2 linked regions of the Bombyx mori genome follow. The protein of the gene in region 2 purifies or fractionates together with the protein of the main gene of each other region. This does not show direct contact. Links are inferred from orthologs where the notes say so. Each region holds a gene or a part of one and is shown on either strand. Other genes may lie near its edges.

What was found. Proteins that work in one complex are often made in the same cells at the same time.
Region 1: the proteins of 5'-3' exoribonuclease 1 (region 2) and regulator of nonsense transcripts 1 purify together in Homo sapiens (affinity purification with western blotting; 4 studies listed by BioGRID and IntAct, with this or other methods). This does not show direct contact. The link is inferred for Bombyx mori from reciprocal best matches to the Homo sapiens genes XRN1 and UPF1.

The regions. Positions count from the first base shown.
Region 1 is NC_085127.1:8,613,908-8,617,979, forward strand, and holds the start of regulator of nonsense transcripts 1, read left to right. Parts: upstream 1-1,272; 5' UTR 1,273-1,574; coding exon 1,575-1,754; intron 1,755-1,832; coding exon 1,833-2,020; intron 2,021-2,774; coding exon 2,775-2,975; intron 2,976-3,298; coding exon 3,299-3,369; intron 3,370-3,937; coding exon 3,938-4,005; intron 4,006-4,072. UniProt on the Homo sapiens protein: RNA-dependent helicase required for nonsense-mediated decay (NMD) of aberrant mRNAs containing premature stop codons and modulates the expression level of normal mRNAs.
Region 2 is NC_085128.1:3,931,879-3,936,526, forward strand, and holds part of 5'-3' exoribonuclease 1, read right to left. Parts: intron 3,629-4,648; coding exon 3,524-3,628; intron 2,973-3,523; coding exon 2,921-2,972; intron 2,536-2,920; coding exon 2,454-2,535; intron 1,032-2,453; coding exon 839-1,031; intron 1-838. UniProt on the Homo sapiens protein: Major 5'-3' exoribonuclease involved in mRNA decay. Required for the 5'-3'-processing of the G4 tetraplex-containing DNA and RNA substrates. The kinetic of hydrolysis is faster for G4 RNA tetraplex than for G4 DNA tetraplex and monomeric RNA tetraplex.

The DNA.
Region 1 (4,072 bases), on a different chromosome or scaffold from region 2:
GGTGGTCGCGCAGGTGATATTCCTAAAACATACTAGATTACTACATATTCTTAGTATAAAGTCAAGTCATAGCTCCAAGTTTGAAAATTAAATAAGGAATTTCTCGAAAACATCTCGCGAAAAAAAAAAAAAATTTAAAACGATACTAAATATTCTGCATTCGTGGCGCGACATTGATACACAGTTAAAGCGCCATCTATCAAGCTATGAAGTTATCTCCTCGTCCCGTTGTTAAGATGGTTGAATAAATAATTTTGTTAATCTTAATAACAAATTTATAGTACAAATATTTAAATACATCTTTTGATGATCATTCACATGAAGGTCTAGACTAATTCAACACACTACGGTACTTTTGACTTTTGGCGGGAATGTGAGGATATGTAATGTTTGATTTGAATCGTCTACTTGACAAGCAAAGGGAGCATAGCCTATACAGCAAAGCTTTTGACTGAACTAAATCTGTTGTTTAAAAAATGAAATGAAATTGATTACGGAATGGAATTAAATAGGGTAAATGAATCAACCTCAAATTCACCACACACCTCAACACACCACACACCTCATCAACACATCACAACACTTCAAATCTTAGATGAGATTAAATACAGTAGCCTCTCAGTAAAATGGTGGGAATTTATTGTGAATTCACTTGTCTTTTTGAATGAAAATGAAAACTAAAACGATATTGTTTAATTTTCCGACATAGATCCTAAGAAACTCATAAACTAAAAAAATTTAATGAAAAAATACTAAATTTACTATATCAACGGTGCCCAAACTGGTGTACGCCGGATATGAGGTTTCAATTGTGTGATACAACGACTATCCCACTCCGATTCATCATGAATTCCAAACACTTGATTGTTTCATAAGATATCTAGTTTCCATTATTGTAATCTATGTATTGACGAATATTTGGAAATTTTAATTTTTTTACCCGAAAAAATTTTTAAAGGCATTCATTTAATAACGCTGTCATTATGAACACATGAATAACTAGCTAAAATTCTTACTTTTCGCAGCATTTGAACCCAGCTGGCAACGCTCTCGCAACAACAATCTTGCCCGTTAGTCCAGGTCCATTCGCGTCATTTAGATTATTTTGTAGTGAGAAAATCGGTACAGTGAAGAGAAAAAAGTATATTTAAGTTTATCCGGTCATATTTCTCAATTAAGTAGTACTTGTGACCTGGCCTCTATTGCCCAGTGTTGCGTCTTGTGGCAATAGTAAGTGACAGCTTTGAGTTGTAAATATATTTTATCTGTACTTAAATTTTCTCACTTGGAATAGTTTGTTTTTCTGTACTTTAATTGGTTAAAAAACAGACAGCTAAACTGCACTCAAAGATTTGATTGGTACAAAACTTTGAAATTATTAATTGACAAATAGAATAACAGACAATTTATATAAAACTTTATACGGAAACAAACCATGTGTTAACATGTCGAATTTTCGTCACGATTTGTGTGTCGTTTGAATAACTGCGTGACTGCTATGGAAATATCAGCCAATAGTCGTTCTATATATTTTCTTTTGGATTAATTTTGTTTGTTTAAATTCGTCATTAAAAATGAGTGTTGAAGCATTCGACCCAAGCTCGCAATCGCTCACGTTTCTGGAAACAGAGGAAGGGGACTTTATTGGAGCAGACACTCAAGGCTCTGAGTTTGAGTTCACGGATTTTACATTACCCTCTCAGAGCCAGACACAGGCTTCACAACATGACCATGGGTTGTCTTCATCCAACCAGGTATGTAGAACACCACCGAAGACACATCACTTCAACTCACAGAAAGATCAGTAACTATTGACATTTATCACGTTGTAGGTTAACGGAATAGGACGTATAGAATTGTCGTCTAAAATCTCTAACGTGACTAATACGATACCGGAGCTGCAATTCGAAGAGGAAGATGAGGCTTTGTACAGCAACAAGGAACTTCCAGATCATGCTTGTAAATACTGTGGCATACACGACCCGGCCACAGTCGTTATGTGTAACATATGCAACAAGTGGTAAGTAGTATCATAATCCCAAAAATGTAGTATTTATAGACGTTTTTTTACAATATACATGAAACTGACCTCTGCTTCCTAACTATTTTAAGTATTGGTTTATTTTATCAACATGGGTTGTTACATCTTTCATGATTATCTGTCTAATGAAATTAGAATGTTAGGAAAGTAATAGCAACTCAAATAGAACTGTGGCCTCTCAAAACAGGCATGTCTTTTGTGTCTCTCAAAACAGACATGGTTCTGTTATCCATGGGCCCTGGAAACAACTTAAAATTAGTTAGATCTTTGTAACTTTACACAGTTATTGGAATGTAGATTGCAGATTAATAAGTTGCCTTTGTTACAATGAATTTGCTTTAGATTCTGTTCCTACATCTTCTTTGAGCATGCCCTACATTGGTAATTATCAACTGAGTAGAGGAATAAATCAGGGGAAAAATTTACTGGATTCAAGTAGTAATGTTATAACTCATTGAAAATGACCTACTTGAATTACAAAATTTAGATATTGAAGTATATAATACAGCTATGCTACATCATAGATCGGATACACTTTAGAGATAGATAAAACAAAACACTTGCATACTACTGAGCAATTGGAAATATAAAGATTATAAAGAATTAGTACTTTATGACTTAAAAATTAAGAAAATTTTAATAAAATTAAATGTCTGAAAGAAATTGCAGTGAAGATTATGTTATACACAATTTATTGAATATACTCTGATTCCTTAAGAATAATATTTTCCAGGTTCTGTAATGGCCGCGGTAACACTTCAGGCTCTCATATCATCAACCATTTAGTACGTGCAAAGCACAAGGAAGCTGCATTGCACCGTGACGGGCCACTTGGCGAAACCCTTCTGGAATGTTACTCATGTGGTGCTCGGAATGTATTCGTACTCGGCTTTATACCAGCTAAAGCTGATTCTGTTGTTGTGCTACTTTGCCGGTATGATATTTTTTTTAAACTTAATAATCACTCATTAATATGTAATATGCTATTATCTCAGTCATAAAATCTGTGACTCACTCCAACATAAACGATTGCTCTCACTCTGTGAAACACTGCGCCACATGGTGTCGCATCGCGAGAGCATCGGTATTGCAGGATCCGACTGATCCACTGACCACGACCACTCTGTCAAGAGTGTACAAATAAGAAGAATTATCTCAGTGCTCAGAGAAAAAAAAACTATAAAACAATTGAAACCAAGATAAATTAGATAATTATCGACTGCCCGCTACATTTAATATCAAGAATTGAATTTTCAGACAACCTTGTGCAGCTCAAAGCTCTTTGAAGGATATGAACTGGGATCAGGAACAGTGGAAACCTCTGATATGTATGTTTATATCTTTTAAAACATAAAAAATCAAATGATTTGTAGTACTGATAAGCTTACATTTATTTATGTGTTTATACATAACAAGTTTTATATCTAAACCTGATAAATAGTGATCATGAACATAGCATCCTGAAGTTGACCTGGAAAGACTTGTAAATGATGATGTAGATTTATATATAAAATATATTACAGCCCACATGATGTTAGTAGTTACAACAGTATCAATATTGACACTACTTACCTTGAGATATGAAGTCGAAAACTCCATTTCAAAGTCTAAAAATGATCTCAGATAAGAAATTACTCTAACCAGTATTCTTATCCCACAATTCAAGTCATTATGCATTATTGTCATTATACCACATCATCACGAGCTGTCTTTTAATCATACTCTTAAGACTTAACAAATAGATGAATAGAAAGACTTTCAATGTAAAATTTCTTTATGTAACTTCATCTTGACCAATTTTAAAACCTATTAAGAACATAAAATGTTTTAGTATATGACATAAAAATAGATAGATAGCTTTTAAATATTAACCGACAATATTCATTATAATTACAGCTGATCGTGCCTTCCTGTCTTGGTTGGTGAAAGTGCCATCAGAAACAGAACAAATGCGAGCTAGACAAGTAAATTTTTATATACAAATTAGACATTTATAGAAATATTAATTAATTTACTTATTTATACCTTTTT
Region 2 (4,648 bases):
ATAAGTGCTGCACTTCGACATTTGGAAAGAGACAGTCGACTAATTTCGGCTTCGTAGAGCGTTATCTCTGTCGCACGAAACACTAACGTGCTGGCTCATACCGCGTCCAACTACTAACAGACTTCGACGTCATCCTTAGTAGGGGTATACTACATCCCTTTCTTTTATAAATAACTCTCGTTCTAATTAATGTTTTAATGTTACCAACTACCGCCACGAAGCTACCACGAGTTCCGGTCTGCCAGACGGGATAATAGTTATTGTTATAATAATGAGACTGCCGGGTCAGCTAGTATGTATATATTTACACGTATTTTAGTGTAATAGTTTATGGTGCCTATAGTACATGGAATCTTAATTTCAGGTGAGAAAACAGCATGTTAATAACAAAGAAAAAAAAAACAAAGCGGCCAGTGTCATTTAATGAGTTTATTTTTTCAGTTATCATGTGATTTACTAAATACTCTTTTGTTTCATAAACTTGATGTCGTATATACGGGTATCTGTATATATAGTGTTAATTTTCATATTGCCAAGTCGCATTGTACGTAGGGAGCGTCGACATGCCATTCGGAATATTTCGTACCGTATGTCTTTTTAATGCCCTTACGAACATTTGGGCAGCGGCTTGGCTCTGCCCCTGGCACTGCTGAAGTCCATGGGCGACGGTAACCACTCACCATCAGGTGGGCCGTATAATCGTCTGCCTACAAGAGCAATAAAAAAAAAAACACGGCCCACCCGATAGTAAGTGGTTACCGTGGCTTGTCGACGCCATCAATGCCATGGGCAGAACCAAGCCGCTGTCTACCGTACCTGAGATCCAGGAGCTGCTCACCTGTTCGAAGGGCTTGAACGGTTCCCCGAGCTCGAAGTCGATCTTCAGATCTTTGAATCCCTTAATGTCGGATATGTAGGGGGCGTAGTGGTGCGGATAGAACCAGCACCACGAGGGGCAGCCCTTGTAGTAGTAGTACAGGTTCCACTGGATGGCTCGCACGTAGCCCTCGGCCTGGTCCGCCAGCACTTCGCTGTTCAACAATATTATTTCATACTAGCCACCCGCCCTCGCTTCGCTTCGGAAACATTAAATTTTATTATTGAAAACTGAGTCCCGCGATGTTACCCGCGCTTATTATCGTACCGCGGGTGACGCCGCGGGGCGAAGCTCGTCTAAAAAAGTAGCCTAAGTTACTCCTTATATTATCAGCTACCTATCAGTGAAAGTCCCGTCAAAATCGGTCCAGCCGTTACAGAGATTAGACGGAACAAATAGACAGACAGACAGACAAGAATTGTAAAAAATGTTATTTTGGTGTATGTACCGTATATTCATTTGCACGTCGTAAAAAGAGGCTATTTCAATATTACAAACAGACACTCCAATTTTATTTCTATGTATAAATTAAAAACATTATTATAAAGCATATAATAGTTCCTAACGCGATTACTGGTGGTAGGACGTCTTGTGAGTCCGCACGGATAGGTACCACCACCCTGCCTATTTCTGCCGTGAAGCAGTAATGCGTTTCGGTTTGAAGGGTGGACCAGCAGTTGTATAACTATACTGAGACCTTAGAACTTATATCTCAAGGTGGGTGGCGGCATTGACGTTGTAGATTCCCACTTAACACCAAGTGGGATGTGAGCTCGTCTACCCATCTGCGCAATAAATAAAAATAATTAAAAAGAATTGTAGTTTTAAATTCCCGATATTTCTGCGCTGTTGCACCATTTTCGCGATTGGATCAAAAGCTGCGGTTAGGATGCTAAGAGCAGACATATCTATCTACCCTGATTCTAGTCCGTTCCGGTATGTTACCAATTTATTTTTTTCCTACCTAAGCTGGTAGCCTGGAGCGGCTATTCCAGCGTAACCGTAACTAGTAGGTGAGCTCACGGGGCTCAAACCTGACGACGTTGCTAACACGAACCCTAGCAAGAGTCGTGCTTCGCAGAAACGACCACCGGATCGGAAACGCGACCCACTGAGAAGATCCGGCGAGAAACTCAGTGGGCTGTGTCTGAGAGTTAATTTACTCGTCGAGCCCTTCGTCGCAAGCGACGGGTTCGACGAGAACGGTGACCGGTGCTTGTAGTACCTAGAAGCACCGTTAGTGGATCGGGAGGATCCGAGATGACGGGTTACCATTAAAGTTTACGGTACGGTATCGAGACTTTTTTCAGGAAATTTAAAGTATATATTGATAGCTGCAAAACAATAATACAATAATATTTTAAAATTGTAATCTGTTTCTAATCTTAATGTTGGCAGATGAGCTAACACAAATTCAACCGTCACCTGTGTCAATGTCAATGCCGTAATTACAAACTGTTTATATATAACACGTGATGTAATAATTATATATTTACATACTATCATAGAGTGGGTAATACTGCTTGTATTAAAACCACGTTTTTTTTTCTTTTTAAATGAATAGTAAAATTCTTACTCTGTAACTTTCGAATAGTCCAACTTATTCATATAATAATCTTTTTTATGCAAAATAAACTCCATTTCCATGTTGGCTTCCTCTGAAAGTTAAATTCAAGTTTTTATTGATAATTGAAACGCTGTGGAAATACAGTAATACTGTGGCATCAAACAAACGTAGATGACCCTGAGTAAGATCAGAACTAGATGTAATTTTTTTTTTTATAATAATATATTTAAAAAAATTAATTTCGTAAAGTAAAAAAAAATTTCGTAGGGTGCTGGAATTCTTCGAACATATTGCTCGTAAAGAGGGTACGATCTTCTCTAAGCATCAACTTCCACAATGCCCTTCATGAAGCTAAGGATCGCAGCAGATGGAGGGAAATCGTACGGGAGAAACTGATGCAGCGGAGGAGCCACGACCCTCAGTAATGAGGAAAACCACGCGAGGAGGATTTGAAAAAAATATATATTTCAACTCACCATCGCTCGTTTCCTCGTATTCTTCTTCACCATCTTCCAAATCATTCATAAACTAAAACAATTGATTTTATGAGATATCTGACAATAAAGGAATTTCATTTTAAAAACTTTCCACAGTCAAAAGGTTTAGGACTACGAAAACCAACTATCTTTAATAAGGATGAGCGACTCCGATTGGAAAATGAATCTGGATAGATTATTTCGTAAATAAAACAACATTTTACAAATACAAGTAATAATCTTAAAGTACAAATGAACTCATTTATCGTTAATGAAATTCGAAATCTGATTTATGATAAATATGTTTATTGTAACAAAGATAAGTACCCAAACTAAATAAGATATAGCATTCTATCTACTGAATTGAGTATGTTGTTACACTGTGAGATATAAATGTGACATTATACCTATAAAGTATAAACAAAATAAGTATAATGTAGTGAATTTTAAATAAATAAAGTTCATTTCATTCTGCTCCTATTTTATGTAACAGTACATATATAAACGTTTATATACTCAACACTGGCAACAATGTCATCGTAAAACGCCAATTGCCATACTGAAAAAAACATAAGAAGAAGGAAGTAGTTCAATGGTAGTTACCATATTGTCTGTAGCATTTATGAGTGCTTGCAGATCATTGTCCAAATGGTTTCCTTTTATTTCATTTACATCTACGTTGAACGTTTCATTGTTATTAGCTTTGTACTGAAAAGAAACAATCAATTAAAAGATCTATAGTATTCAACAAACAATTTAAACTATTGCATGTATGCATTTTATAAGCAACTAAAACGTGCATATTATTCATGTTTACCATTCGGTAAGCAAACAAAATACTACGATATAAAAGTCGTTACTACTTAAAATAAAAAACTATAAATACATTATAGGCAGGGTATAAATAAAATATTACAGTCAGTGATGAAACGCGGAAGTTGAATAACCGCATAGCGGTCATAATTGGCACATCGAGACTTGTGCAAATCTCTGCCAAGATATGAGTACCGATATTTGTCAAATAATAAGGCTAAATAAGGTAGTGCAAAAAAGTTTTAGCAATTATTAGTGTACTACTATGTTTTCTTAAAATACTTGGGCAAAAAAATGCGTGGTCGAGCTGACGGCTCACCTTATTTTAGGTGGTTGCCAAAAGCAATAGACATCAACAACATAAATACCACCATCTACCTTGAGACATGAGGTCTGGGTCTCAGTTTATATACAGTACTGGCTGACCCAGCAGACTTCGTAGTGCCTCAATCGATAAATAAAAGTCGATTTTTAGCGAGATAAACGAACAGCAGTTCATTTATATATATATAAGGACTATCTCACCCTTTAAACCGAAACGCATTACTGTTTCACGGCAGAAATAGACAGGTTGGTGGTACCTACCCGCGCGGGCTCACAAGACGCTCTACCACCAATTAATTAATTAAATAAATTATATTTTTTACAGGTTTCTTTTTCATTATGCGATGAGATTTATTATGCTATTACTTCACCGTAGAAGTTAATCGTGAACATTTGCTAAGTACGTATCCTATCCTACGTGTACGTGTCTTAATCCTTTAGACCACGCGACTTCACTAACAACTAATTAAAAATGATTTTCTTCAAAAATTTCCTATGTAAAATTTAATAAACTAGAGATAATTACATTGAGGATACTTGCAAATGATATAGCATATTCTAAGTAGGTATACACTTATAAATCTTAATAAG